3 linked regions of the Arabidopsis thaliana genome follow. The protein of the gene in region 1 binds, or shares a complex with, the protein of each later gene. Each region holds a gene or a part of one and is shown in the gene's direction. Other genes may lie near its edges.

Region 1 (9,862 bases):
GTGGTTAGAATGAAAATCCAAAAAAAGGTTGAGAGAGAGATTAGAGAGGAACCAAAGTGAATGTCGGAAGATACAGGAAGGAGGTTGGTCCGTTGGTGTCGGCTACTAACGGTTGGGCCACGTCATCTCATTTCATACCCTGTTGGCCCCACATTTTGTTGACCTACTGACAAAGTGACAGTTGACCGTTCTATATTACGGGACTGGCCCCCACGTTTTCTATATCTTTGCCGACAACTACCCTTTCTTTCTCCTTTATTTCCAATTTATTTTTTATTTAGTTTCTCTAAAATTTAACACATTAAAATAATAGAATTGTTAGTTTGAAAAATATAAAATAATACATGTACTGTTGCGTTACCTATAAATCTATGATATCCATTTTTTTTTTTTGATAAAATAGCCAAATGAATATTGAACTCAGTATTTTCATAACAACATCCAAACAAAATTAGTTGTATTAGTTTATTAGTGACTAAGATTCGGTTATAGAAAAAGTTGAATATCTTAAGTCAGGTGGCTATAATTTAAGCCAAACTATATAAATTTATTAATTATGTATCATGTTTTCTTATTTTCAAACTACAGTAAATGATTATCTATATCAGTAAATGAATATAAATAAGTTAGCAAAAATCTAATCTAATCAAGTGGTTGGATTTTTTTGACATGCATGGAGTTAAGAGATTAGGGTTCAAGTTCTTTTATTAAAAATTTAATAATACTGTAGATCCTTCATTACTGCAAATATTTTAAATGCGAAGAATGCACTACTTTCATTTAATTTCAAGACTTATTTGGATTTTGGTATTAAAAATTTTAGTTATAAAAAAGAAATATGAACTAATCTGCACATTGAAAAAGGACGAGGATCGAACATATACAAATGCAACATATAGGTCCAACAACATGGAATTAACATTCGATAGTTTTCCACCTATTAATAAAGAATTATTTAAATATTAGGTGCAAAAACTCTTACTCTTAACACCAAATGTAAAATCAAAATAATTTTCTAGTTTTACAAGTTACAACACATATATCACACTCCAATTTTACTTCCCCAAAAAAACTTACAACGCATACAAATTTCCGGATTTGAATATAAATATAATTATGACATATATAATAGTACGATTATTTTCTTTAAAAAAAAAAAAAGATTATAGTTGGTTTTATCAGCACATGTCTCTAGGTTATAGGCTTTGGTTAAAAAGGGAGTTTATATTAGTACTAAGTGTAAACAAGTAATTTGTATGCAAATTATTCATTTTTGCCTGATAACAATTTTATGCGTGGTCGCTGTTGTTAAATTAATTAGATTTGAAGTAATGGTTTATAATAAAATCGAGCCGTGTAAAATTCGCGTTGATGAGTCAATGCATCGTCACGTGAGATCTTTAAGTCTTAACCACTCACTGCGTTACAAGATCTCCAAATCAAACAAAATCTAGTTTAGTTTGCGGTGAAAATGAGATAAACAAAACAAAGGGACCACACTAATCCAATAAAACAAAATTTTTTTTTACTGTTGATAAAACAGGTTCCAAATTATTGTTGCTTCCTAAACGTTTTGCGATTAGTGCATAACAAGTGATTGATATGATTAGTGCTGAACAAAATGTATTTGTCAACAAGATGAAATGATAAAATTATATATCTTTTTGTTACAGTAGTTAAATCATTTAATATATCGACTCTGTTTAATTAGAACTAAACTAAAATGTGAAGGTTTCATTGGTTTCCATTTAAACCTGTGACAATAATCCCATGTAGTATATATGCGATAATGACCACCTACTGCCACACAAATGCAATATATACATACACATGCATACTCTTGCAATAAACTATTTTCGCCACTAATCATGCTGCTGTATTATGATGGTCTGTAAACCAAATTATATAATCATATATTGTCACTTTTACTACCCTTTCGTAGAATTATTTTCTTTTAAGATAATTTGTCCAAAAACATCACGCATGACTCATGATTGCTACATACCTGAGAAAAGCTGAGATATTTATTGCAAAATATTAATATTTGGTACGACTAATTATCTGGCTGAACATGAGTGTACATAGAATATCCACGTTAATGTGGTTCGAACCTAGATTAATAATAGAATGATCAGTACTTGTTGTATATATTATATAGCTAGCCATAAAACGTTACAGAAAGAGCGTATAGAAGATGAAGTAGAGCATCCCGTGATGGGCAAACTAGAAATTCGGTGGTTTCTCCGACATATAATGAGACAAAATAAGGTTCGAAATTAAAGTTAGTCCATGTGATCACTCGGATTCACGTTCATTATACGAATATGAATGAATCTGTTTCAAACATTTAGCACATGCATGTGACATGTGATTTTACTTGGTTTGATAATTTACGTGTTGCATTTTGTAACACAACTCTTAAAACATCTGGGTCAACATATTAGACTATATAGTTGTGTTTATATATGGTCTATCGTCTAGAATTACGGAGCTATTTGTCACGGCCCACAAGTGCAATGAAATGAAATTTAATTCATAAGTTTAGATTATCCACTGGAGTATGTATACTGTCCTACAAGAATCTTTCACTTAATATACATAGAAGTATTTTATATTATATAGACGTATATTAGTCACTTTATTGACGTTTACAGAATATGAAAAAATGATGGGCCTTCGCAATTGTACGTACTCGACAACATGCGTGGCGATGACTCACCTTATCCATATTTGATATTACTTTTTCTAGTACTCCTTGTTTTTACATCACTTTCTGGTAATATTTAATTAGAAATTTAGAACCCTAGACTTTGACACGGTAAATTTTAATAATAATAATATATAGTTGTATTAGAACAGTTAAGAAGTCTCACGAGTTCATAATCAGTTTTGCTTACTAGCTAACTGTATAAATAATTATGCTGGAATCTAACAATTCAAAATTAACTTTGCTTGAGAGTTTTATACCAAACACAAAAGTACAATTTAGTCTAGACTCTAGAAAAGATAAATTCTTATTGCGAAAAATAAAAATTGCAATATATATACAATAGAAGTTTTGGGAGGGATGGTTTGGAAGTTTTAACTATCTCCATGACTCGACATATAAAAATGTAAATATCATTGTTCAGCTAAATGAGCTACCATCGATTAGTTAAAAATAACATTCTTTTACGTCAACCAATCTATGGTTTAGGGGTTAAAATTTTCACTCTCAATATAAGAGGAAAGGTTTAAGTTTTTATCAAAGTTTTCCGGTTATAGAAATAACGTACGTACGACTGTTTTCTTTTTCTGCTTTTTTCAGATTTTCTAAAATCAGTACTTGGTCTTATATATAGATCGATATGCAAATATGCAATGGCGAAGATACGTCCCTAGCGGCTCCTCTTTTGCCAAGACCATGTCACGATCTATCTTACAAACGTTACTCATTTTACTATATCTACTTTTTTCTCCCTAATATAAATATAACTTCGCATATTTATTCATGAATATTTATGCTAAGAAAAGCCATCACATGCATTTATAGTATGTAAGCTTATGTCGATGCAGTAGGACCATATCCGTATATATGTGTGTGCGTATAGATACGTGAGATAGTTTTGCTTTTGAGGCTCCTTCATCTCTCACATCCGTCTGCCCACGATCAATTTCAAAATAGACAATTTTAAAGCTAAAAAATAATAATTTCTTTTTATATGTAGATGTAGCTTTCATATCTAACCTAAAAATATTTGTCGTCAAAGTAAAAAAACTTAATAAGAATATTATTTAAAGAGCTTTAAACTAATATTAACTATAAATCGTTCGTATACTATTGTTCGTTAAATTACATTTAGAGACTATACTAGTCTACTTTAATATCAATAAAAATAAAAACTTCACATGCATATGTTATTTGTCTTTATCCCACTCTGGCCAATTTAAATTTGAAAATATACGTAGACTTATAGATCAAATATCTTATCTTTTCATTGTTGAAAAAACTAATGTAACATTCTAATTAGTTAAATATCTCCACTTACAAAAAGAAAAGAGCCATATCTTATCCAAATTAATCTCTCAATTTTAAAAGCACACATTAAACGGTCAAATTCCAACTTTTGTTAGATTAAAATATTATGAAGACGTCAGATAATACGAAAACATTGCTCCACTAATTTTTGTCGTTTATTTCCATTCAAATAATCATATATCTGGAATCTAAAATATAAAATATCATTTAATTTACGTGCTTATTTTTTTTTTAAAAACCTTCGTCAGATTACAATCAACATAGCCAGGTATAATCAAAAGCCAGAGAAAAAATAATAATACAAATGTTAAAATCTGAAGGAAAAAAAAAAATCTAGAAAACACTACTAGTTTGCCACTGTCAAAACAAACATACAGATATTTGCAACATTAAATATTTTTGAAACGTTTAAGCTCAAATTGTATATTTATGAAATGGGCTCAGCTTATACTACATAGTATTTACATAATTGGGCCTATGGGCCATTTAAATTCATAAAAAATATAAAGTACAGAAATAACGAAACGGCGTCGTTACACTTAGCTGAGTAGCTGAGTAATAAAATTGAACAAATTAGTAAAATTCCAAAAAGTTATCGAAGAAACGTTCAAGCTGTGACAGAGAATCTCGGTCGTCTTCGTTTGTCTCCGACGAGCTCTCTTTCTTCTCCGATTAGATCCCGTGAGAAGAACTCAAAGGCTCTAGGGTTTCTCTGTGATTCAGTTAACTCCTTTAGATATCGTAAGAAAGTAATCGATGATACTATTGCAGTCACATTCAAGGTTTCTTCTTCAAACGCTATTGACGCGAGCTCAAAAGTAAGTGCTTTTCAATTCTTAATTAGGTACACTCTTAGTTTTACCTAATCTACAATAAGACCCATTTTTTATTTTGGTCGATTTGATTTTGATTTTGTGAAGAAATCTGAAACATTTTGGAAGAACTGGGTTTTGTAGAATGGAACCAAAGTTCAATACTTTGCTTGATTTTGTTTATGTTTTGGTTCAGTCTTGATAAAGCAGTGGAGCTAGATTATCAATGGATTGAATTTGATGATGTTCGTTACCATGTTCAGGTGTGAATTTTATACCAACATTTGAGTATTTGACCTCTGAGATCCATATGATCTTGTTCAATGTTCTGAGACTATATGAATTTTGTTTGATAGGTGACAATGAAGAATCCAAATCTGTTGTTGCTTTCGGTTTCGTTACCAAATCCACCACCTGAAGCAATGTCCTTTGATGGACTTCCTTTAGGAGCTATAGAAGCTATTAAAACCACTTACGGGACAGGTTTTCAAATACTTGATCCTCCTAGAGATGGTTTTAGTTTAACCCTCAAGCTCAATTTCTCTAAAGTTCGTCCTGATGAAGGTTTTTAAACGAGTCTCTTTCTCTAATTGATAAGATGTTGTTTTGATTTAGATGTTGGTTTTGTTCTCTAATAGAAAGTATCTATGTTTTGGCAGAGTTATTAACGAAGCTAGCTTCCATTAGAGAAGTGGTGATGGGTGCACCGTTAAAAATCATTTTCAAGCATTTAGCTTCAAGGACGGTTGCTCCTGAGCTGGATAGGCTTGTAGCAATTATGCATAGACCTAACGAGACGTTTTTCCTCGTGCCTCAGGTATATATATACTCTATAGGTCTTTCGTATGTAGCCATTGAAGTAGGTTCTTATGATTAGTAAGAATCTAGAGAGTGATAGAGAACTTAACTGTGTATCACAGGCGGATAAAGTCACTGTGGCATTTCCTATGAGATTTAAAGACTCCGTAGACACGATTCTGGCGACTTCTTTCCTTAAGGTGACAAAATGATCAAAGCTAAATTTTCAAACAGGTTTTGATTTCTGTAGTACTGAAACTTTGGATATAATGATATAGGAATTTGTAGAGGCGAGGCGTGCTGCTGCGCTTAATACTGCTCCTTCTTGTTCTTGGTCTCCAACCGCACCGCAGGAATTAGAGGGAGCTCCTAAAGAAACACTATCCGCTAATGCCGGTTTTGTAACTTTTGGTATGATCTTTCTAAAATATATTCTGTTCGAACTCAATTTGCATTGGTAGTACCAATCTGAAAGAAACTAACTTTGAGATTATCGATATATCGCAGTCATTTTTCCTCGGCATGTGGAAGGGAAAAAGCTCGATCGTACTGTCTGGAATTTATCGACCTTTCATGCTTATGTTAGTTATCACGTCAAGGTTCATATTCTTTATCGAACTTTCATGTTTTCTACTTTCATATTCTCTAAATACCAGAACTTAGTCTCTCTATCTTAGTATGGATTTGTAAAACTGAGTTTTTGTTCGTTTGTTGTTATATCACAGTTCTCAGAGGGATTTATGCACACCAGGATGCGGCGTCGCGTGGAATCTATGATTCAGGTAAAACACCAAACTCATTACATTCGACTTGGATATGCGTTCTTTAGTTAACAAAATCTTGTTGTCTCAGGCTCTGGATCAAGCTAAGCCATTGGAGAAAACAAGATCGATGAACAACAAGTCATTTAAACGGCTAGTAAGTTGCGAAACAATTTGTTTTTCGACAGACTTTTTCTTTGTTTGTTTGCATTGTTTTTGAGCTTTGTTTCCTCTTCCTCACAGGGACTCAACGAGGTCAATCACACCAACTCGAAGTAGTTGGATTTCTCACGAAGCAATTTTGTAAAAACTTGTGATTAGCTGAGACATGTATTTTTTTTACTGGATTAAGTCTCTGTGATATTTATTTTAGTACAATTCTTTCAGATATTTCTATACATCTGATCTTGCTAAATATTTGAACAAATGTATAATGTGAAAATTGTAAGAAACTCACCTTGATATGGACTGTGTCTGGTCTTGATCTAAACATGGTGTTTTCAACAGAAAATAAAGTTTTTGTTTTGTTTTATAATTGTTTTTACAAAAATGAAGAAGATGAATCTTTATTGTTCTTCAGATTCTCAGATAGTCAAATTAAATGAAGTAATATTCGTACCAACAAATAGTCGTAAAAGTTGATTTTCATATAAAAACAAACGTTCAATTTATCCTTATACACAGATGTATCAAAGATTTGTAGTGATCTAGTAAGGTATAAGAAGAAGATTCAAAGGTCGCACGAGTAAATTAACGATTCCTTCGTAGTATACTTTTGAGGCCCATAAATTATGACTGGGCATATATTGTTAGGTTTCATTGTATCAAAAAATGAAATAAAAAGCAATTAACTGGCTTCGCCCGGGTTCGAACCGGAGACCTTCAGTGTGTTAGACTGACGTGATAACCAACTACACCACGAAACCTTTTTGTCTTCTTGATGTTGGTTTAACATATTCTATCTTCCTTACTGATCACCTTCACATTTTCGCAAACCATTGTATAATCTCTCATTAGCTCTAAGGACTAGAATATTGTTTCGAGAATGGATAAAGAAGCTGGAATAGTATTTGATATAAATGATGTTTTATGTCTTGCGTTAAAGAAATTTTGTCTGATTATTTTCGGATATGAAGTTGTATTTCACCAAAATCCTTTTAATACTAGACCATAATATCGATTTGATAACATACGATTTATATACTACGGTAGATTCAGATTATACAATATAGCATACAAACTGTGATAATTTTGCATCATACCGATTACCGTACTACGTTACGTTGTCGTTTTGGTGTTTGTATTATAACAGATTCATTTTTCTAGATAATTATGGTTTGAGTTTTATTATTACTTTTTTGATAATGATTAGCTGGGTATCGAATATCGATTACCAAGATTAGGTTTTGGTTTTGCGTAAATAGTACTCCTCCTTTTGGCTTGGTAAAAAAAACATAAAATTTAAATGTGAGTTTGTGGTAATCCATATAAAGCGTGAGAACTATTTTAAAATTTTAATGAAATCACAACAAGGACACTAGATTTATTTTCGCAAATTTCTCGTATTTATCTTATTATTGGTTTTATTCAGATAAGAGAGATTAGAACTAAAAAATTCTACAAACATGGAACCAAACTACATAAATAAAATAATATAAAAGAATAATGAACTAATTATTTTTAAATTATTGAAATTGTCTCTATTTTTTTTTCTATTTTTTTAATGGTTTCTAAGAAAATTAGAAATCTCTAATTTTTCTTCTATATAAATAAAAATAGAGATAAGTTAAAGTAAAATGAAAGCAAAAATAAAGTATAGAGATGGCTTGGAAATGCTCTTAGAAAGATGAAAGTAGAGTAGCATGATGCTCAGGTAGCGGGCGTGTGAGACACATGTGTTTTCTGCTCCTTTCCAAAAACAGATTAGGGTTTTAGAAACATATCGACATTTTGCCTTACTCGTATTTTTGGCATTTTTGCATTTCTTGCTAGTGTCATGAGGAAACTTCCTTTATTTTATGATTCAACGATATCGTTTTTAGCGGTAAATGACAGAGTGTTTAAGTTATTTGCAGTTCGAGATCTTGCTCGACGTGTCTAAATTCTCATCTATATCGATTTCTATTTCTAGATAGCCTCTCTTCCTCGTACTAGCTCGAGGACATCTAGCATATTTGAGAGATTCATTTATGTTTGTCACTGAGGTTCCTTGATTCAACGTCTGGTTGCTACATCTTTAATCGGTTCTAGTTGCGATTAAAAACAACATCGATTTTTGCATGGTGCTTCCAAACCTTGGTCTCCCACTTTTTCGTATTTTAGATTCAGAAGGAGCGATGGTTTTCTAGTTTCTTTTGTATCCTATTGCTCGTGTGATAGTTCTCTTTGGTTGTTGTAGCGGTTTCTATTGGGTCTTTGGTTAGTTCTAATAGCATATGACTTAAAAGGAGAAATTTCTATCGATGAGTCTCTTTTAGCAGCTTGAAGCTTGTAGAAGAAGATAGTTTTAGACGAATGTTGCCAGATGATACGGGATCTCGACTAGTAGTGTCGGAGTGTCTGAGATCACAATGTTCTCAATTTTGGATGATTCACTTGTTTACAGTTTGATAGTGTCGATTGCTTGCTGAAAGTATGTAAGTTATGACGATATAAGTTTTCGAACGTTATCCTTACACCCCGGATGCTCGTGGCAACTTGAAGCTAATAGGCTTAATTAAATTAAAGTGTTGGAAAAGAAATGGGCTTAAGAGATGGCCTAGCTCACGTTGGAGCTCCGGTGGTTGTCGGGTCTGGTCTTGAAAGGAGGAAACAAGTCACTATGTTCTTCACGTCCCTAAAGAATAGGTCCTCTTCGCTTCCTCAACTCCTTGAGAATATGAGTCGTTGAAGTATCAAGTCACCCACTACCTCCTATATTTCTATTTGACTTGGTTTTGATTTTGTGAAGAAGCAAATTAAAACCTAAGTATCTCAACTCTATATAAGAAGGTTAGGCTTCTAAGTATTTGTGGATCCACTAGCAGATTAACACTTGAACGTTCAAACATCTTTCAAAAGCAAAACATCTCCATCAATCTCTCTCTGTCTTAAAGTAAGTCTCGAGAGTATCGTAGAAACTTGTTCGTTAGAGTTGTGTTTCGAGTGCTGCGAAATCAGTTTATAGAGGTTGTATCCTGGGATCCTTGAATCACACATAAACCGTCACACTACGGGTGAATCTTCGGTTTAATTTTTGTGGTGGGTTTACATGGTAAAACTGTTAATTCTTTCTTCAGTGGCGTCGGGTTTGGTAACTCCTCGGAGGTGGTAAGTTTTTTCTGCGATTCGACTTCCGTTATGATCATTGGCTTGAATTCATGGTCTCATCGGAGATTATCATCGCAAAAGATATCAGCGCTACGTTTTCTAAGGTATTTAGGTCTGGCCTTAGATCACGGCTGCTCGTGGCAACAATATTAATATTTCGATTT
Region 2 (11,689 bases), on another chromosome or scaffold:
ATTGACCTCCTGGTAGTAATTAAGTGATTCATTTGAGCTACAAGGAGACTCATTATGATCCATGGACCGCTCATTGTCGCGTGTAGTACCACTCATTGGGTCGAAGTCTGAGTCCAAGATTCCTTGGTGAAACCAATTGTGAAGATCTTGTGGCATTTGTTGAGCAAGAACCTTTTCTTGTTGCTTCATATTACAACCAGGATCATCTTGAGGGAACCTTCTCGAAGCTTCTTCTCTAAGTAGAACCACTTGTGCTTGTAAACTAACAACCTTAAGAACAAAGTCAGTGAAGTTACTTGTAAGTACACTAGAGATGATGAAGCAAAAGCAAAAAAAAATTATGTATACATTTCCGAAGAAAAAGTATAATACCTGTTGTTGGAGGGAGAAGATTTGGGAGACGCAGCCGTAAATAGGATCATGGAGACGAGAGTGAGCCTCGTAAGAGATGGTTCGTACGGCGTCACATCGGTCATGATCAGGGAGATGAGAAATGAGCTTAGAGAAGTTGCTAGCTCCAAACACTTTGTGAATGGCTGCAAAATTAGAAGATCCTTCTTCGTAGCAAAAGTATGGTGCAAATACACAACCCTCTACACATTTCCTACGCAAGAACTTGCATCCTCCACATGGTGAGCCTAAACCTCCCATTCTCAAAACGTAATTATAATCTATTGATATTAACCAACTATTACTATCTTGTAGGAATATTAATACTTCATTACTTATACTCTTCTAGTGACGATTATATAGTGCACGAGTGTTTATGGTAAAGGACTAAGGTGGGATTTATGATAACTCAACTTGTTATTTTACATATTTGTCTCTCTAATGGCTTACAATTACAAGATTGCAGCTTTTATATTTTCCCTCAAGTTTATATTGTAAAACATCTCTCTAATATTCAATAACTCGTTGTAATATATTATTGAGATTAAACTCTTAAGGTGGAGAATATTCTTAAGAAAATATTGAGAGAACCATATTAATATTAAGATCCGATCAAATGAGAGATTTGGTTGACGTATAGGACAAAACAATGAGTAAACATGAACCAAACCCAAGTTGCTTTTTGTTGTGGTTTTAGCTTTTTTTTAATTCATAACTAATTTACTCTCTTATTTTATTTAGAAAAATAAATTAGAGTTTACTTTTAGTGTTTGTTTAGTTGAAAATTTACATGTACTTGTGAAATTATGTTAAGATTGTTGTCATTATTGCTTAATTTGGAAAACAATAGTTTAAGATTTAACAATGCTCAACATATACACCACATAAGTGATTGAGATGTGTGTAGAATAAGAACAAAGGCATTTGATATTAGTAGTATATGAGACAAGTTATTTCTATATCTCGATTTAAATATTTTAAAATGCTCTCAGTTTCGATCAAACTTTACAGACTAGAAAAATAGAGAGACCCATGATTATCCAGCCCACATATTAATCATGAATCATGATTAACATCAAAAATATTCCAAAATAATTGATCAAGTACAAAAGTTAAATTATTCGATAATAATGAACAACTGATAGTGGATTTATGACTTAATGTTGGTTTAGTGGAGATTAAAAATAGTAAGAAAAATTTGAGTTTGAAGCTTTATTTTTGTTTTCTTATCTATGTTAAGGATTTCGGGTGTCTTTAGATATCCTAACTTGTGCCTAGAGTTTGCGGAAAAGACGGAGTTTTGGTCAAAGAAGGACCGGGGAACAAAGAAATAACAGAACCAGTACGGCCATGGGATCGGTCTCACCAATGACTGATCTAGGACTCCTCAAACAACCCTCATAAGCCACATTGGCCGTGCCCATCAGTCAAATGCAGATCCAATATCCCTGGAGCCAACTAAATAACCCGCATCGATCAACCATCATGGTCATAGAGCCACCGATCTAGCCAACCAAACCATCCGACCAGTAGCTACATCGTTCTGCCATATCGGTCATATTTTTTTATCGATCCTAATCACAACCCATCTGATCCAGAAGCTGCATTGATCCCAACATCGGCCAATGAAACCCAAACATTATACTTACCCTTTGCAAATCCTATTCTACTGGGAAAATAATATAGTGCTCATCTTTTAATTGATGAAACCCGAACATTGCATTTTGAGAAATAGTATGCAGTCGCAAAAGCAAAAGCAAAAGCATATTCAAATGTAGAAAGAAAATATAACATCCTTGTAATTCTTTAACTAATTAGCAATCTTCAATGATTCACATCATTTTCAACAGAGTATGAAGGAGTTAACATTGCAATGAATCTGCAAATTACTTGTACATATACATAACGCCCAACCAGGGTTAGATAGGAGAAGAGACCAAAACAACAAATGTGTGTTCTTCCATGATCTATTAAAAAGCTTCAATATATAGTAACGTGAAAAAACCTGATTGATTAGTCAACGGCTTTAGAATCATTAGAAGAAGATGCCTCACCAGATTCGGAGTGTTCATGGTTATGATCACAGTGATGGTTGTTATCATCTTCTTCTTCACTGTCATCCTCATCAAAAGGCTTCTGTTTATGAAAGATGCAACACTTCTTCGAACTCTTCTTCTGCATAAACTCATTGTCTACAGTCCCATCTTTCCATGAAACTTTCTTCTTCTTCCGGTTCAACCGAAGCACTAATCTTTCAGTAGGTTGTGATTGAGAAACAGGGTTTTCTAATATGACAGAAGTTGTTGCTGAAGAGGAAGGCCTTGTTGCTGTGCTCATAGCTGAAGATTAGCTTTCAAAATCTGCATAAAAGACTAATTTCATAAGGTACCAAAATACAAGAACAGAGAATAAAAGTTCTTAATAGTAACAACTAACAACATGCTTAAGAATGACAAGAGCTAAAGATAAAAACTAAGACCTTAAACAAAATCGTAAAACAGAACAAAGCCTTTAGGGTTCATTCTTTAGGTAAACAAACCAAACAGATGCTATTTCTCTAACCCTAAATTCATTGCCTACGAGATCTGAACCCTAATCATTCCTAATTCCAGGGGATAAACACAAATCGGTGATATGAAATTGAGAATCAAATGTTGCAGTAAACAATAGAGAGACCTAGTTTCGATCGTAGAAACAATAGCGAAACCTAAACCTAGGGGAAAAAAAGATTCAAAGAATCAAATCGACGAAGAAGCAAACCTGTGAATCCCCAAGGAGGAAGGGACGCTTGTTGAATCGAGAAACTTTTTTTTTTTTTCGTTTTGTTTTTTTTTTCTTTCGCCGATGGAGAAATTTAGTCGCTCCAACCAAAAAAAAAAAAAAAAAAAAAATTCGGTCTAATTTTATATTTATTTTCTAAGAAATGTTAATATATATATTAGAAAAAAGACTAATACAGTGTAATTAATTTTGAGAAAACTATAATGTTAACTTATTTGGGATTCGAAAACTGAATATATAGAATGACTTTATAAGTTACTCATACTCATAGTGAGGTTTAGTTCAGATTTTTACATGGATGGATTTGATTAAATCCAATTATGTATATTTAAGTATTTAACTAATGCAGAATTTAGATCTTATTTTTTTTTTTGCTTATTATTATGCTGGGCCGCCCCTAAGACAGGGCCAAGGAAAATAGAAAATGATCTGGTCATAAAAAATTGGGCTATAAGAGTAAAATAAAACACACAAACAAAAACATCCGTCTCTTTCACTTACACTTTCACTTCACGTTTGCGACTGTGTCGTCGTCAAGCTCCGGATCTCATCGGCGTTTCATCATAATTATCTGTCCATCTATTCACCGTACGACTCCGTTTTAGAAATCTGTAGATGTCAATTTGAGAGAAAAGACTGTCTTCATTACAACACATTTGGGACAACAAGGATCACTCATGGCAGTGGTGGATGTTCATCGTTTCGCTGAGTCAATCACTTGCCATGCTTGGAGTCCTGATCTCTCCAGTATGTTTCTAACACCTCTCTGATTTTGTGATTCTCTTCTTTCTCTCTTCCGTCGTTTTTCTGTTTTTAGAATTATAAATGAGGAGGATCTTTAGTTAGTTTTTCTGAATTGACTTGTGTTATTCTTATACATCTTGGTAATCAAGTTTCTTCTAAATCCCTATAATTGAGAATTTTCGAGTCAATGTTTTATATGTCTGTTTGTCGGTGTCTCTTGTTAGGAGCACTTGGTATCTAGTATTGTACATTAGTAGATGCGCTTTTCTAAACAGATGAACCAAATCTATTGTTACAAATGATTTAACGTCTGTACTAAAGCCTGTAACCATTTATGTGCTTTGACATTTGTTTCGTTTTTCTTGGTAGTGGTTGCTCTCTGTCCTAACAACACTGAAGTTCATATCTATAAATCATTGTCTCAAGACCACTGGGAGAGGTTACATGTCCTCCAAAAGGTGAAACCTTTCTCTCTCCCTCTCTTTCTGTAACTTTTGAACTTGCACTCCTTTTGCTTTCTCTTCTTGGGAATTCCTTACTTTCGTATATTTATGTATTCTCATTTCACTGATCACTTGTCGCTGATAAGTGTTGTATAGACAGCTTGAATCTCCCTTACAACAACTTCATGATTATTGTTCGTCTTGTTGCAGCATGACCAAATTGTTTCTGGAATAGATTGGAGCTCAAAGTCCAACAAAATCGTCACTGTTTCTCATGACAGGAACTCGTAAGTTGCTACCTTTGATATACTTTGAGAAACTCCAAACCTGTTAATCTTAGTCCTTCACTTTTTTTCGTTCGTTGAACTGAGTTTAGAATGCTTCTTGAAGGTACGTCTGGAGCCTGGAAGGAGCTGAATGGGTACCAACTCTCGTTATTCTTAGACTAAATCGTGCTGCACTTTGTGTCCAATGGAGCCCCAAAGGTAAATGTTTAATTTTTCTGGTTCTTAAGCTTAATTTCCGTAATATATCATGTAATTTTCCTATAATTTCTACAGCTTCTAATCTATGTTCTCATCTTTTTGCTCAATACCCATAGAGAACAAGTTTGCTGTTGGAAGTGGTGCTAAAACTGTTTGTATTTGCTATTATGAGCAAGAGAATAACTGGTATTTTCTTCTTCTGCTCCTAATTCTCATTATTAGTCCTTGATTTTTTCTTTGGCAAGTTTCCTGACTTCTTTGCTACGAATGGTGTTGTTGGTCTATGTAATGATATTATCTTGTCTTATGTACTGGCATGATATTAGCACCAATCATATTTTTTATTATCTTGGCATGCATAACTGTGTATTGTTTAGAGATTTTAGAAAGATACTTTCATGTAAACTTTTAGTATCTGACATTGCTTGGCTTTACTGTTTGCAGGTGGGTCAGTAAGCTAATCCGGAAAAGGCACGAATCTTCAGTCACATCTGTTGCTTGGCATCCTAATAATGTACGTGCAATCAACAGAACCTCTTGTAGTTCATGTAGCCAAAATATTAAGCAGGCTCTCTGTAAAAGCTTTCTCTACCAAAAATATTCTATAAGTTGGCCACCAGATTGAGTATAGAGTACATGATCCCTAAAAATAGAATATCAATCTCCACAAACTAGTTAATCTTCTAAATCATTTTTTCTCGTATGCTTTTTTATGTTGCTGTGCTCTCTGATTGTCTGTTATGCATTAGGTTCTTCTGGCAACGACATCAACAGATGGAAAATGTCGGGTATTTTCAACATTCATCAAAGGAGTTGACACAAAGTATGCTCATTACTTGAACGTCTACTTTTAAGACATTTTTTCAAACATGAGGCCATTTCTTATTTTTCTTTCAATGGGCTGATACAGGGATTCAAAAGCAGGCTCACCAGCGGAAACGAAATTTGGGGAGGTTCGACTAGTTTGGCTGGCTTTCCTTCTTTTAGTAAATATTATAATTCTTGTGCCATATATATGTTCCGTCTACTCTCTCATCTAATGTTAGGGAGTTTTTTTTTCTACTGTGGCTTTGTTGAAACAGCAAATTCTTCAGCTTGATCTCTCATATTCTTGGGCATTTGGTGTTAAATGGTCTCCAAGTGGAAACACCTTAGCATATGTAGGTCAGAAAATCCTTCAGACTTGGGATGTTTTTCCATTGCGCTCTACTGAAATAATACAATGGAACTTCAACTTGGTTGCAGTTTTTACTACCATCTGTCATACTTTGCGTGTTTATGTAATCATGTATAGGTCATAGCTCCATGATTTACTTTGTTGATGATGTTGGCCCTTCTCCTTTAGCCCAAAGCGTTGCATTCCGAGATTTGCCTCTTCGTGATGTGGGTCAGCATCCACCTTTATTTTACTTTTGAGAACCTGGTTTCTCCGGTGTGTTATGTCCTGAATTGATATATTATGGGGAAATTGCTATTTCAGGTCCTGTTTATTTCTGAGAAAATGGTGATAGGGGTTGGATATGACAGCAACCCGATGGTATTTGCTGCAGATGATACTGGAATATGGTGTGTAACTCTCAGAAATATCTGCTTAAAATTCTCTTTCTTAGGGGTTTGCATACTATCAAATTTTCAGTTCTTTTATTCCTCTTAGATCACAGGCCGGATTGTTGGTTCTGAAACGAACCACTACCAATAATTGCTTCGTTTACAAGTTTTTGTATTTGGTCTGTAGGAGCTTCATAAGATACATTGGAGAGAAGAAAGCGGCATCTTCAGGTTCCAGTTACAGTTCGCAGGTACATACCAAATCTTCTTTCTTATATTGCAATATGTCTGGTTTTAGCCTTTTAGTGAAAAAAATATGACTGAACTTTAACTTATCCCTGAGTTGTTCCTCTAAAGATCGTAATCTTTGGGGGTTAGTGTAGTTCCTCTCTTTCTTTTTTTCTTGGATTTACGATACGACTTTCCACTTGCATTATTTTGTTGTGTTGTGTCTGACACATCTGTTCATTATGTTATTTTTCAGTTTTCCGAAGCGTTTGGAAAATTCTACGGTAGTCAATCAAAGTCTACAACAGCCAACGATGCTTCTGATTCACGTGGAGGCGTTCATGATAACAGCATAACGTAATTGTTTCTTTATCTAACTTGGCTTGTACCAAATCATTTGCCAAAAAACTGTCTCTTTAGCTCTTTTACTTGATTATCTGTTAAGAGCTGACGTAGAAGTTTACCTGCAGTTCCATTGTGCCTCTGGGCAAAGGAGGGAGTCCTAAAGTTATGCGATTCAGCACTTCAGGTCAGTCACTAAATTTAAATTTATATAACCCTTCATGGAATCACCCGATTCAATTCATACAAAATGACAGGTTTCATTAGCTCGCATTTTCGGTTTATTATTTATAGGATTGGATGGCAAAATAGCCATATGGGATCTAGAGAACATGCAACAAGAACTTGGCAATCAGTTTTAATAAAATCTGGATCAGTAGTCAGCTTACTTAATTTGTATATCAGATTTTGTTTCGACTAGCCTTTTCACCTTTTTCCAATTTCGTAATTGTCACACTTGGTAAACTGCATAATAAAGGCCATGTTTTCCTGGTTTGTGTAAGGGCAGGTGTTATTAAGTTTTGAGCTATGCCCTTGTCTCTGGATCTTTGTAATATCTTGAATGCTCTATCATTTGATTCATTATACGAGTTGGTATCTTGTATATTAACATAATAACATTTTCAGCTTTGTGTCGAATGAGTTCTCCGGACAACAACCACAGAAATGAATGCTATATATCAACAAACTTGAAATGAATCTTTTCATCTGTGATGATATATACAATCCAGAATGAAGCTGACACTAGTATCATCTGACATAATCATCGGGGAATCAAAAGCTCCGCTTAATATCTGTGTAATCAAAACATGGCTTACATCAACTGAAGCACGTACGTACGGTCTTCAGGGGTTAGAAAATTTGACCACTGGTATGTCCTTTAGGAAGCTGCAAGGTGACTTTATACACAGACCAAATGTGAAACCAAGAACACATATCGGGAAAATTCCAAGTACGTGCAAATGTTTTCACTCAATTTCTGGACCACGTTCATGAAGTATATAGCATTGTTTCAGAGAACTCTTAACTCTTGATTCCCGCCCAAACTGAACTAAGTGAAAGTATTCCAGCTGCCTTAATTCACAGATTCTATCTTGATCTAGCATCTGCGGGGAACAACTCGTATTTTGCATTTGTTTACAAGCATATTGTGATCTTCGTAGCTTTCAGAAAAAGCACAACGTCTTAGAGATTGCAGACTATATAGGTAAATTTTTCTCCATTGGGTGTCACTGAAGAGAATCTGAAGAGAACGTCCAACTTTACCAGAATGTTCTTATTGGGTGTCACTGAAGAGAATCTGATAAAACCTTTTTCTCTCTTCTGGATCAAACAGACCACCTGGTCGATCCCCATGGTTTTCTTCTTCATCGACATCATCTCGATCGTGGTTCCTGTCTTTCTTTCGCACCACAGGCTTCAAAGATTCAATACCTTTCTCTCTCTTCTTCTCTAGATTAGCCAAATATCGCCTGTGATTATACTCATACAAGCCCTGCTGCATCAATTCCCCAAATTTATCCTTCACAACAACGAGCGGGTCCTTGTGAATCAATTCCGAGCCATTGTATCCTTCTCTGAGGATCACAGTGTGAACCTGATACTTGTTTCCAACGTAGAATATGCCTGGATGCTTCAGAAGCATACCATTTAGCTTCTCCGGTAACCCAAATTCCCTCTTGAAATGACTCAGCTTTACGATTGACAGCTTTTTCCACAACGTCAACGAGAGTAACTCGTGCACCAAACCAACACTTCTCTTCTCACTCTCCTTTGAACCCTCAACAAGATCCCCATGATCCTCATACGGAGATATGTAAGGAAAGGCATTAAACTCCATGAACCTCTCCCACGGTTTGGTCCACGTGGAAGGTAGAGAGCAAGAGAAACTAGGCTCAGAGCCACATTTCTTTGCTGCTGCTTCAACTGCAGAGACAGCCAACTCAGGCTTCCACAACAAAAGCTCAATCTCCATTGAACTCTTCCTACCACTATAATTCACTAACCGAAACACATCTGAGTACTTTGGAACTATTCTGATAACATAATCATCAGGGAATCCAAAGCTCCGCTTAAACTCGTTAAGCTTCACGACATTGAGACGCTGATTAACACTCAACATAAGCAGCTTTGCAAGCCTATCTGCGAGTACAGGCTCTTGTGTATCTTTGACCAACTCTTCCTCTTCCACAAGCGTCATCATCGGTTTCGTTAACCTACAGTAATACTCATCGTTCTCGAGATAAACATGGAAACAACAAGGGTATTTCTTAAGCCAATTCAAGGCTTTCCCCTGAAGATCAAGAGTCTTAAACTTCTTCTGTAGAAACTTAATCGATGCAACCTGATTGGGACACCTTAAGATAATGTTCTTGAGCCGACTGTTAACAATCCATCGCTTGTTACGCGAGAGAGCAGATTCGAGATCAGGGTCTTTCTTCGTTGACCAAAGTGAGAATCTTCGGATTAACAATGGAGCATACTTGGTACCCAGAATCCGATATAACTCTCGTGTCATAGCCATATCAGTCTCTGACTACCAAACCTAATCAAACTCAAACTTCAATTATTGACGAATGCGATTGGTTATAAGCAAAAAGAAATAGAAAAGCCTCCACCTTTAGAGTATCAGAGGAGCAAAACAGAACCCTAATACCGCCACGAAGGAAGTATGATCGGAGGAGATAAGCGAGGAGCAGAAAGGAGAAGCCTTTGAAGTCGATTCATCAGACTCAACAACGCCACAGTTTCGACAAGAGGTAGAAAAGAGATTTTGCTTCTGAACCCGAGATTCGAAGGAACAAATTTTATGCCCTTACTCTCTGCAGCGAAGAGACTGTGGCAGAACAGGGACTAGTGCTGGTGAAAGTGAAAGCTTTCTTCTTTCTAAGACTTCTTTGTTTGGGTTTAGTGTTTGTTGTTTACTCAGTTTTGATTATGATAATTACAATGCATGCTTGCAAATTTCTAACCATTAATTTATAATTCCACAGCTTGCAAATCAAACGTATGAAGAAAATCAAAGTTTCAAGTCATGTATATATACAAACTTCAAAGGGTCCAAAAACTCAAAAGCAAACAAATGCAAATCATAAACACACTAAACACTCAACTTTGAAGTCCTATCTTTTATACAAAAAATCAAAACAAACAAATGAAAGTATTGCAGTGAGTGTCACAACAACACTGTACAAGCCCACACAAGCCTATTCTTTATCTTACGTAAACGCAAACTCTGCAACCACGCCTGTTACCCCTTCTCATTGGCCTTTGGTTGAAATATTTGCACCAGAGACCACAAAATGTCCATCCTCTGCATTACTTTGCTGTTTTGGCTCTGCCATTCATATATCAGTATCTCGATGTTAGTCAGTCATATATATCATACTAATCCAAAGTTCAATCAAAACCAAGGAAAATACTTTGATTTGCTTTGGAATCTCTTTCATGAATTGGGTAATTCGACTTCCTACCTCAGTTACAAAGCATATCCATGTTTTCTCGCCCTGAGTCTCGGTGAAACCTCTTAGGATGACGAGGTCTAAGCTCCTTATGACGTTTGCTATCTCAAGAAAATGGCCACATTCTTCACATAACATCTGTCCAATACCCAAAAATACTTTTAATACACACTCGCAGAACTTGGGACTCGAGTTCAAACAAAGATTAAACTAAACCAAAGAAAAGAGACAAAATGTAAGATTACATACCTCGATAAGCACCATCCCCTGCTTGTTCAGATTCTCCACGATGATCGAGCTTACTTGAAGATGACCTCCAACCTCCACTGCGCAGCTTGAACCTTGCATACCAGTTTCCTTTTGTTGCATCTGAGATTACAAAGGTATAAGCTAATTTTGATATTTACTTCTGATTTTCAGTTGAGTTTTTCTATATATCTCCATGTGCCTAATAATCCTATCTTCTCATTCAAGGATTCAGAAATTTGATCCACTATTTGCTACATCAATCAATCAAACCTAACAAACTGCTTAATGTGTTCATTTACAAACTATGGAGGCTGGAATAAAAATTTCTAGGATAGAACAGAGATTATCAGTTATCAAGAAAGCTGACATTTTTACCTTTTCATTAGCACTTTTACTGAGCTTTTCAGCATGCTTAGTAACATTCTGCAAAAAGAGCATGTGTTTGATCGTTCGTTCTAGCAAAGAATCGATACTGCACTGAAAATGTGACAAAAATATTAGTGAATGACAAAAATATATTATAAGTTAAATTCATTACAAAGGAAGGTGCAAGTAATCTTGTAGCTAGGAAGAGAAAAATCACCTTAGATCCATTAGGCACAAGTTCTCTAAGTTCCTTGATTCGATCTTGAATAAGTTGCCTGTCTCTTGGGCGAGGTCGAGAACTTTCACCAGGTTTGGCCCTCTTTTTGTTCTTCTTGGGTATGTCCAGGGATGTCTGAAACTGATCACTAGAGGAGCTGGGGTACGTAGATGAGAATCCAATTGAAGAAAACGCTCCACAAATATCTGATGAATTTTGTTGGGTATCCACCTCTGCCATTGGTGGCTGATTCATAGCACTATTAATTGGGTTAACAATATTATGCTTCTTCTGACCTGAGGGTTCTGCCAGTTCCATGTTAGTAAGCAATGATTGTACCGATCTGCTCGACATCATATCATCCCTCGCATTACCATCTCTTTGACACACATTAGCAACCACAGCATCTAGAAGATTCTCAGGGCCAGGGTCAAA
Region 3 (9,528 bases), about 11 Mb from region 1:
ATTTCAAATTACAAATAATCTATTTGTATTTATGCTTATATGTTCAATCTTGTATAATAAAGTAATGTTTTCTTTAAAAGAGTTATGATTTGACAATCTGATGTTTCAATTTCTTGCAGTAACTTTACTTAATTAATTTCTTAAAAAATTAGACACGTTACTGGTTTCAACACATTATAGGCTACTGCTTCAATTAGTAACTATGATTTAGAAAAAGAATGAGAAAGAATATATAATCTAATGCTTGAAATAGACTACAAATTTTAATATATTTTTTAATTTTGTTGTAAGTCTAGATTATACATTAATGCCGTCTACCTAACTAAATCACATGAATATTTAAATTGTTAATCATTGTCTGTTTTATTCACACTAAATATTTTCTTCTTCTTCTTATCTCTCTTTTTTTTTTTTTTTTTTTTTCTAGTAACAGTATAAGGGAGAGATAGTAATCATAAAAAATTGAATACAAAGAAAGAAAAAAATAAACAATAAGAGCACCCTCAATAGGGGTTTCTAAACAAGTTTCTTAACAAATAATAAAAATTTTATATGATTTAAATATTACATAAGTCTCTTAAATTTGATGAAACCTAAGTAAATTGTCTCTTAATTAAGAGATAATTGGTTTTAGTTTCACCAAATTTAAGAGACCCATAATTAAAAATAATATTTATCTATACTTACACTTTAATTTTGTTTAAGAGATTTATGATTAGAAATTACCACTGAGGATGCTCTAAGGTGCTGACACAATGCGCAAGAATCAATAGTGTCACATTATGAAATTCAAGTTTTGTTGTTTTGTTGAGTTAAATTTATCAAATTCAAGGTTATGTGTGCTAACAAGCATAACTGGATTCATTGGAAGATATGGGGGCAAAATGATAACAAAGAATGCTTCATGTCATTTTGTAAACAGTTTGATTGAAAAAAATGGTTAACAAAGAATGCATGCATACAAGAACGAAAGAGCTTAAAACTTGAAAGTAGGCAATTATTTAACAATGGGGGGAGGGGAGGCATAAACAACTCAAACACGATTCGTGGGTTTAACCAACCTAACCCTAACTCTTAGGCCCACGATTATGATTTTTATATTTTTGAACTCAGAAATTGAGTTTTTCCCATATATACTGTGAACTAGTCCGTCACATGTTATCATCAAATGCCCCGACCATCCCAACCAATGTTCTTCGTGGGCCTATCAACAAGGTCAGAAACGCGAGTGAATGTATGGTTTATGTCAGTAACTGTTATTACAAGTGGTCGACAAAACACTTCCATGTCTTGAATACGACAAGACGTAGGAGAAGCACTTCCATATCTCTTAATACGACAAGGTTATCAGCAATGCGGTGGAACTTGATTTGAAGTCAATGAAAGCATTTACTGCTCATATTTGATTCGATTTGTTGAATAGGCGTAGAATTTTCCATTCAATTAAACTACACAAGTAAATTTTTTATTTTTCTTTAAAAGTCTTTTTTTGTTTGTTTAAACAGAAAATTAGTAGTACAGAAAATGAAATATTTTTCTATACAACGAAAACACCTCTAAGTTTTATATATAGATTTGAAAAAAGTTGTTATTATTATTTTATTTTTTGGCATCGAAATTATTTCTATTCTGGGAGAGCGTTTGTATTTCAAATTCTATTTTTTTTGGTCAAAACAAAACACCTTTAGATTACTTTTCAGTTTCTTACATTTTAGTTTAACGCACAGAAAAAAAAAAAATACTATTTTCTATCCAATCCGGAGAAGACTAAATGACAGGTCAGCAAAATTCGTCTCTCTTTCTTTTTAAAAGAAAAATTATTGACGCAATCAATACAGCCAAACATCGCTCCATGAAGAAGAAAAAACAACAACAACAAGTCAGCCATGGAGAAAGAGAGAAGAAGTAGATAGATGGTTTAGATCCAAAGTAGTTGATCGTTGAAATTTATTTCTATTTAACGTTGAAAAAAGAGAATTTTGCAAAAACCCAAACAAAAAACCCGCCATGGATCCGACTCAAATCTCTCATTTGGCTCTCGACATCGGAGGTAATTTAAAAATCCAAACTTGGCTTTGTTTCATTCAGTTTTAGAATTTTTCGGTTCTGGGTTTGTCTCGAATTAACCGGAATTGGGGTTTTTTTTTTTCTGGTTTCGTAGGGACTCTGATCAAGCTTGTGTATTTCTCTGCAAATGGAGATTATAGCGAAGAGTCTCGTAATGGTTGCTCTGTTGTGAAAGGAAGGCTTTGTTTCGCTAAGTTTGAGACTAGAAAGATTGATGATTGTTTGGAGTTTATTCGATTCAATATCCTTCATCATTCCGGTAAAGTTTTGATTTTTATGATCCTAACCTCTGATTCATAATCGGATTCATATGTACTCAGAAGTATTATGTCTATTTGCAGTAGTAATGTATGAGTCATTAGCTTACTGATTTCGAGAAAAGTTGAGTTCTTTTGATATTTCACTGACAGAGGTAACTATTCAGGTGTACAGCAACCGAATGGCGAAGGTCATGATAAACTTTATGTTAAGGTAAAAGCTAGCATCGGTTATAGTTTGGATAAAGCTTTGTAATGAAGAATGTTGAAGTGGGATTTTTGTTTGTAAGTTGATTATGGTATGGTATATTATTCCAAAGGCCACAGGTGGTGGGGCATTTAAGTTTGCTGATCTCTTTAAGGAGAAACTTGGTATTCTTTTCGATAAGGAAGATGAGATGTGTTCTCTTGTTGGTGGTGTTAATTTTCTACTAAAGGTTTGATTTTTTTTTCTATCCTATCATCATCTTCTATTCATTTTTCCTCAAACATAACCCACATGAGGATATATATGTACTCTGAATAGTCTAGGCTACACGTTGCTATCACTCATCTTTGTCAACACTTTTTGCTAATTCTTTATGAGTGAAGTTGTATTATGTTTCCCTGATAGTGATCTTGGCCTGAGTGTTGTTGCAGACTAACGTCTATAAGACTGAAAATATAGCTACATTAACATTTAGGACATTATAAATTTGAAGATGGTGATCATTTGCAATTTTGATTAAATGAGCTGTGCTCCCTGAGGTTTTTTAACCGATAGTTTCTTCATTGCATTAAAAGCATCTGTGGCAGAATAGTTTTTGATAAACTTCTTATTTCTGCCATTTTAAATTAACAATAGATTATTGCATGATTGCAGACTGTCCCAAGGGAAGCTTTTACCTACTTAGATGGCCAAAAGAAGTTTGTCGAGATCGACCATAATGATTTGTATCCATATCTACTAGTCAACATCGGTTCTGGCGTTAGCATGATCAAGGTTCATTCTGGTTTTGGTTTCTCTGATCTCTCTGTTTTTGTTTGCTACTACACCAGCGATGTTGCTTACTCAAACTCGTTCTTATATAGGTCGATGGAGATGGAAAATATGAGAGGATAAGTGGAACAAGCCTTGGCGGAGGCACATTTTTAGGTCTTGGGAAGCTTTTAACAAAATGCAAGAGGTGACTTCTTAGTTAAGTCTATTAATGTAAGTTTCCTCCTTGCCTGAGTAACAACTAATATTTCTTAATTTCAGTTTTGATGAGCTGCTAGAGTTAAGCCACCATGGAAATAACAGAGTAATTGACATGCTTGTGGGGGATATCTACGGTGGAACAGATTATTCAAAGGTAATTGATTGATCCTGGTTTTGCTTAAACATGTCTGAAGACTTTTAGATTAGATTCATATGTTAATATAACCTTTTGTTCATTCTTTTTTGATAGATTGGTCTCTCCTCAACAGCTATCGCTTCCAGCTTTGGGAAAGCGATTTCTGATGGTAAAGAACTTGAAGATTACCAGCCAGAAGATGTGGCAAGGTCCCTTCTAAGAATGATATCAAATAACATCGGTCAGGTCAGTTCCTCTGAACATTTTAATGCCATTTTAAAACATAATTTGAAGCTGATGATATTCTGATCGAATTGTAACGTTTTCTACTCTCCCTCCAGATTGCTTATTTGAATGCTCTCAGATTCGGTCTTAAGCGTATTTTCTTTGGTGGATTTTTCATCCGTGGGCTTGAGTACACCATGGACACAATCTCCGTTGCTGTTCACTTTTGGTAAATCCAAAACCGAAACTACTTAATCAAATCCCTCCATATCTTAAACTCATGTATGTCCACAAAATCTTTATCGAACTTTCTCATTTTTCCTTCTCATTTCAGGTCGAGAGGTGAGGCAAAGGCAATGTTTTTACGACATGAAGGGTTTCTTGGAGCATTAGGCGCTTTCACGAGCTACAATGACCAGAGCCATAACGATTTAAAACCGCATCATCACACTGTGCAAAGAGCAATTCTCAACTGTTCAGGTCATAACTTTCGGCACATCCCAGTAACTTCAAATTTAAACGAAAGCGAGACCATAGAATGTAGCATCAATTTAGTTTAGTTATCACCAGTTGTATTATTATCAATTCAGTGTAGAAATATGTTTAATCAACTGTTTGAGTCAAGAGCTGCTCATTACTAGTTTGTTGAATGTTAGACACATTTATGTAAGATGATTCACGTATTAATATTCATGTATGACCAATGTAACTTGTACTATATATCACACAAAGAATCAAACACACTTATTAAATCTCACTAGAGCTTCTTTAAATCTCGGTTTAGTCCGGTGCATTGCAAGTATTTGTGCATTTCTGTTTAGCCTTTGTTTACTAAGTTTTGTATATTGCTTATGTAACAAGTTTTTATCCATTCAGCAGAAATAACAGAAACTTGACACTTATATGGACATTTTGTTGTTGTTGTTGATTGAAGATCAATGTTTAATCCGGTCAAACCACTTTGATGTAACCCGAAACTGAACCGAAGAATGAACCACATCATTATTTGGTTTTTGATGTACCTAATTCCAGTGGTCGATAAGAAACCAAATTTCAAATAAAAAAACCGAGAAACTCAAAAATCAAAGCTAAGCCGGATTTAACATTGGTTACTCCCGGTACGAAGCAATGTACCACATTCATGGAGTCTTACACGTGTCATCCATACCTCTCTGTCTTCTTCTTCTTCTGTTCTTCATTCCTTTTTCCTACTTCGTCGATTTTCCATTTCAATTTCTTCTTCAGCCGGCGATTAAGCTTCCCAATAAGACAATCTCCGACCGCCGCAACATCACGAAGGATTCTTCACCGTGTGAACTTTACGCAGTCTTTCCTCTTTCGTAGACGCTAAAGAAGTTGAAATTGATCTGATCTCGTTTAGGTAAAAACTTTTTCTTTCTTCATCTATAGAATCAATCGTTCACCTAAATTCTGATTCTTATATATCCAAGATCTTAATTGCAGCAGATCTACCTTCGATTCGATTCTTCTCCTTCCTGATATCGCTTCATTGTTCAAATTCGGCACAAAATGGTACGGATCACCATTTTCTTATCTTTCAATTAGCATTAATCGCATTTCATTTTGTAACTAATGAAATTAGATTAGATCTTCGATGAGATTTTTTTTATTTATTGAGCTTGTTTCACTTTGATTTGGTTCCATGGAGTATTTAACTCTGCGATGCTCATTTTGTTTCCTTAATCCTTGTGATTAAATGCTCTGATCAGGTTTATCACTCGAGTTTTGTGGATGAAGAAGGAGTAACAAAGGCATGTGGTTGTCCATTGCTTCCTCTCAAGAGTCATATAAAAGGTCCTGCACCTGTTTCAGAACAAGGTAATTAATCAAAACATGTGATTTTTTTCAATTGTGCGATCGAAAGCTTTTGTAAATTGTTGGTTTTATATGCAGATAAAACTGATATAGTAGACGAGGCAATCACCTTCTTTCGTGCTAATGTCTTCTTCACAAACTTTGATATCAAAAGTCCTGCTGATAAGCTCCTTATTTACTTGACGTTTTATATAAATGTGGCGTTAAAGAGGCTTGAAGGCTGTAGAACATTGGCTGTTGGAACTAAAGCGATTATCAACTTGGGTTTAGAAGATATTCCTGTTCCTGGAGAAACTGGCTTTCCTTTCCCAGGTCTCTTTTCGCTTCCGCAGTCCCAGGACGAAGCAGGTATATATACATGTCTAAACAACTCTTATTGATTTTTCTTTCAGTTACTTGGTCCTTAGCCTTGTGTTCTGTTTGGCTTCAAATGTCAGAGCTTTTCAGGAACTATCTTAAGCAGGTTCGAGAGGAGACAAGTGGGAGGTTACTGAGTGTAGCATATAGAGCCAACGGGACACCAAATAAATGGTGGCTTGCATTCGCCAAGAGGAAATTCATGAACGTGGTCGTCCTATGATAAAACAGAGAATCACTGGTAAGTATCACTTTAGTTTACTGGATCCAAAATCCCACGTGATCTTAGATCCATCTCAAACAGTTCTACATTTCAAGCTTAAAATGTTTTTCTTTTGATCTGATTTTTTCATAATTTAGCAGCTGGTTATTCTTCCTTGCTTGCTGCCCATTACGAATGAGGGAATCCAAAGCCACTGGAGATCATGAGAATCGCCACCTTTAGCTTCCTCTGCATAGGTGTTAGCCACTGGAACCAGGAAGACGAAAATTTCATCTGAGAGCAGAATGCTCTCTCTCTGTATCTCTTGATATATACATAGAGTGTGCCAATGTATTGTTTCATACAACTCCTGTTGGAATATAAAATTTGTTGATACAAGATCAAAGTTAAATAAGAAGATTCTTTTATTATTACTTTAGATTAACAGAGTTTATCTCCAAGGTCTTAATCAGATATCAGATTGTAACCACACATTCTCACTCTTAGCAATTATACAAAGAAAGGAAATAGCTTTGCATACACATAGTGACATAACTGTGCCTGAAGCTACCTATCAGGCCTTGGTGCATACGTTTCCTTCACAAACCCAACCATCTTTGGACTCGTCGCCACCAACTTTCACAGCCTCATCGCCGTTTTCTTTTGTGTCCTCGTTTAAAGCACACTTGGCGTGAAGATCAAAGTCGCATTCGTCGCAATGGTAAGACCATATTGTCCCTTCTTCCTCACACTTATCGCATGTGTAAACCTGAACACGAGTTAGTTCTAGCTCATGTTCTTCATGGAGAACATGTTTCACCTTCTTAGGCCAATCTTTTGCTATCTCATCGTACTTAGCTTCAATCTCCTTCAAACGTTCCTCAGTAAAAGGGTAAGCATCGGCTCCATGGGCTACGACAAGGTCCCTTGCTTCTTTTGTTACGGTTTGCCCAGTTGGTCCCAGAGCTGCTAGCATTGGGATCCCACCAACCTTAAAGGTTTTTGCCAAGGATGCTTTCCTAGGATCACCAAATGGAAGAGCCAGCCACGGCATTTGCGAATAGTACTCATCGAATGATTCCTGGTCACGGTCACTGGAGATGAAGATCAATTCAAACGCTTCATTCCGCTCCTTTATCTGCTTGTATACTTCAACAAGCTTTGGTGTAAAAGCGCGACAAGGAGGACACCAGTGAGCTGAGAAGTACATAAGAATAGTCTTCCCCACCAGATCCGAAACAAGCACCTAACAAAGAAAGCCAAATTTTTACAGGTTGGTTCAGATCAGCCTTGAAGAACAGTGTTTAGAAAATGAAGAGGGTATCGAGAGCTATACCTTTGCCCCATCTTTTCCGAGAACGTAGTTGAGATCACCTGAGACAAGAAGTGACTCGAGCGTTTGAGCCTCTACCTTTGCCTTTTCTAGCTCCTTGAGTTCTTGAAACTTCTCTGGAGTGAAAGGATACGCAAGAACTCCATAGTCATCAATAGCTTCAGCGACATTCGAGTGACGGGTTTTTCCATCAGGGCCGAGAATGACCAGTGTCGGTAGTGTTGACAGCATGAAATGCCGAGCCAATTTTGATCCACTTTTGTCGTTGAACGGCAATGCTAGCCATGGCTTGGTCTTGAAGTCTTGATTAAAAGACTCCTCATCATCTTCAAGAGATATCAACACAATCTCAAAATCCTCCTTATTCTCCTTCAGCTTCGTATAAAACTCAACAAGCTTTGGAGTAAGCTCTGTGCATTTCCTGTAAGAGGCCACAGAGAAGAGAAGGCCAATGGTTTTTCCCTCAAGCTCTGATACGGGTACCTAATGAATATGCAATTGATCGGTCTCATTAAGTCAACAAAAGAGAAACAGGTCCGTAATAACTAACTAATGCAAGAGTCTTGTATAGATATAATCTTCCTATTGACGAAAAAGAATCTGATCTCACAAGCTATTAATGTGCACCTTGTTTCCGTCAGGCGAAATCACAAAGTCTCGTGAAGGAGTCACCAAGACAGATCTTAAGGTCTGTCCTCTCCGAGCTCTATCTTCATCCTCTTTGATCTCCTTCATTTTCTCTGGTGTGAAAGGATAAGCATCAGCTCCATAGCTTCGTATGACCCCAACACCATTCTCATTCACAAGTTTACCATGATCATCAACCATCACTAGGTTAGGTATTCCCCTAACCTTAAACAACTCATCCAAACGGTCACGGGTTTCCGAATCAGTAAACGGAACAGCGAGCCAGGGCATCTTTCTGAAATAATCTCCAAATGACTCTTCATCCTCATCACCTGACACAAACACAATCTCAAAACCAACTTTCGAAGAGAGCTCGTTGTAGACTTCCACCAGCTGTGGAGTAAACCGCTGACACGGTCCACACCAAGCAGCTGAAAAATACAATCCAATCTTCTTCCCTAACAAGCTGTCAACTTTCACCTAAACATCATAAAAATGCATAAAAAATTAAACTCTACCCAAACAACATAAGCCATGTGAAATAGACACAAGCCAAATCAATAAAGGACCAAGCACTGAATGAATCTTAACACTTGAAAGCAATCGATTAAAGTCATCTATAGCAAATCAATCAACTACACGAAGCTATCTATATTCTGTAAACCAGAAGAGTCGGTTCAAAGAATCGCGAGACAATCACAGGATCGTTATCGAAGATCAGAAGAAGTTGCGATCGAAGACCATAAACTCAAAATCACGTCAAAAACTATTTTACCTGTTCGCCGTCATTACGAACGAGGAAATCCCTCGCCGGAGAAGAAAGAAGCGAGTGAAGATCCTGGGCATCGTCGCCGTTGACTTGCTTCGAGGTTTCGGCCATTGTTTGTACGGAGATCGAATTTGAGAATCGCCAATTACGAGCACACGAAGACTGGTCTGTGTATTCTTTTGAGAGGGCCAAGTAATGCTCAAAGCGTTGTATAAAAGCGTCTCTTTTGAAGTTTTTTTTTCTTCTTAATCCAGAATTAGATTACTTAGCGATTAATTAAAGACCAGAAAATGCTAAAAACAAATGGTTGACCAACCAACACAATTATATTCCGGTTCGTCCATCAAACGAGGTCAAATACAAAACACTAAAAAGTCAGCAGTAGAAATATCTCGATGGGGTATAAATTGGTCAAAATCGAATATTTGGGGTTAATATTAAATATTTACAAAACATTAAGCGCTATCTCGACAATTCACGAGGATCAGTTCCCGGTATTAAACTCGGAAAATCCTTAACAAAACCCTAGCTTTTTGTGC

The links.
Region 2: DIS2 (region 1) and ARPC1B share a complex: the UniProt entries of both Arabidopsis thaliana proteins name them as parts of the arp2/3 complex.
Region 3: DIS2 (region 1) and ARPC3 share a complex: the UniProt entries of both Arabidopsis thaliana proteins name them as parts of the arp2/3 complex.

What each region holds. Positions count from the first base shown.
Region 1 is NC_003070.9:10,956,332-10,966,193, forward strand, and holds DIS2 (Arp2/3 complex, 34 kD subunit p34-Arc), read left to right. Parts: upstream 1-4,576; 5' UTR 4,577-4,774; coding exon 4,775-4,836; intron 4,837-5,026; coding exon 5,027-5,093; intron 5,094-5,186; coding exon 5,187-5,394; intron 5,395-5,489; coding exon 5,490-5,647; intron 5,648-5,750; coding exon 5,751-5,828; intron 5,829-5,906; coding exon 5,907-6,039; intron 6,040-6,135; coding exon 6,136-6,227; intron 6,228-6,353; coding exon 6,354-6,410; intron 6,411-6,480; coding exon 6,481-6,546; intron 6,547-6,632; coding exon 6,633-6,668; 3' UTR 6,669-6,900; downstream 6,901-9,862. UniProt on the Arabidopsis thaliana protein: Functions as actin-binding component of the Arp2/3 complex which is involved in regulation of actin polymerization and together with an activating nucleation-promoting factor (NPF) mediates the formation of branched actin networks.
Region 2 is NC_003071.7:13,341,947-13,353,635, reverse strand, and holds ARPC1B (actin-related protein C1B), read left to right. Parts: upstream 1-3,636; 5' UTR 3,637-3,848; coding exon 3,849-3,918; intron 3,919-4,284; coding exon 4,285-4,373; intron 4,374-4,568; coding exon 4,569-4,645; intron 4,646-4,748; coding exon 4,749-4,843; intron 4,844-4,959; coding exon 4,960-5,029; intron 5,030-5,287; coding exon 5,288-5,357; intron 5,358-5,592; coding exon 5,593-5,666; intron 5,667-5,753; coding exon 5,754-5,796; intron 5,797-5,925; coding exon 5,926-6,007; intron 6,008-6,137; coding exon 6,138-6,226; intron 6,227-6,323; coding exon 6,324-6,409; intron 6,410-6,578; coding exon 6,579-6,642; intron 6,643-6,875; coding exon 6,876-6,976; intron 6,977-7,089; coding exon 7,090-7,148; intron 7,149-7,255; coding exon of another isoform or gene 7,256-7,323; exon of another isoform or gene 7,324-7,588; coding exon 7,589-7,659; downstream 7,660-11,689. Other genes in the region: LBD14 (LOB domain-containing protein 14), read right to left, coding at 1-270, 373-651; INH3 (inhibitor-3), read right to left, coding at 2,404-2,727; AT2G31290 (Ubiquitin carboxyl-terminal hydrolase family protein), read right to left, coding at 8,238-9,485; CPUORF7 (transcription factor bHLH155-like protein), read right to left, coding at 10,212-10,298, 10,384-10,560, 10,672-10,791, 11,047-11,148, 11,255-11,689. UniProt on the Arabidopsis thaliana protein: Functions as a component of the Arp2/3 complex which is involved in regulation of actin polymerization and together with an activating nucleation-promoting factor (NPF) mediates the formation of branched actin networks.
Region 3 is NC_003070.9:22,261,550-22,271,077, reverse strand, and holds ARPC3 (actin-related protein C3), read left to right. Parts: upstream 1-5,001; 5' UTR 5,002-5,246; intron 5,247-5,316; exon of another isoform or gene 5,317-5,329; 5' UTR 5,330-5,395; coding exon 5,396-5,398; intron 5,399-5,595; coding exon 5,596-5,704; intron 5,705-5,779; coding exon 5,780-6,049; coding exon of another isoform or gene 6,050-6,081; intron 6,082-6,138; coding exon 6,139-6,281; 3' UTR 6,282-6,299; intron 6,300-6,421; 3' UTR 6,422-6,693; downstream 6,694-9,528. Other genes in the region: PANK1 (pantothenate kinase 1), read left to right, coding at 2,008-2,050, 2,162-2,326, 2,492-2,538, 2,645-2,761, 3,187-3,306, 3,396-3,490, 3,565-3,658, 3,755-3,886 and 2 more; AT1G60420 (DC1 domain-containing protein), read right to left, coding at 6,835-7,506, 7,597-8,076, 8,221-8,700, 8,996-9,100. UniProt on the Arabidopsis thaliana protein: Functions as a component of the Arp2/3 complex which is involved in regulation of actin polymerization and together with an activating nucleation-promoting factor (NPF) mediates the formation of branched actin networks.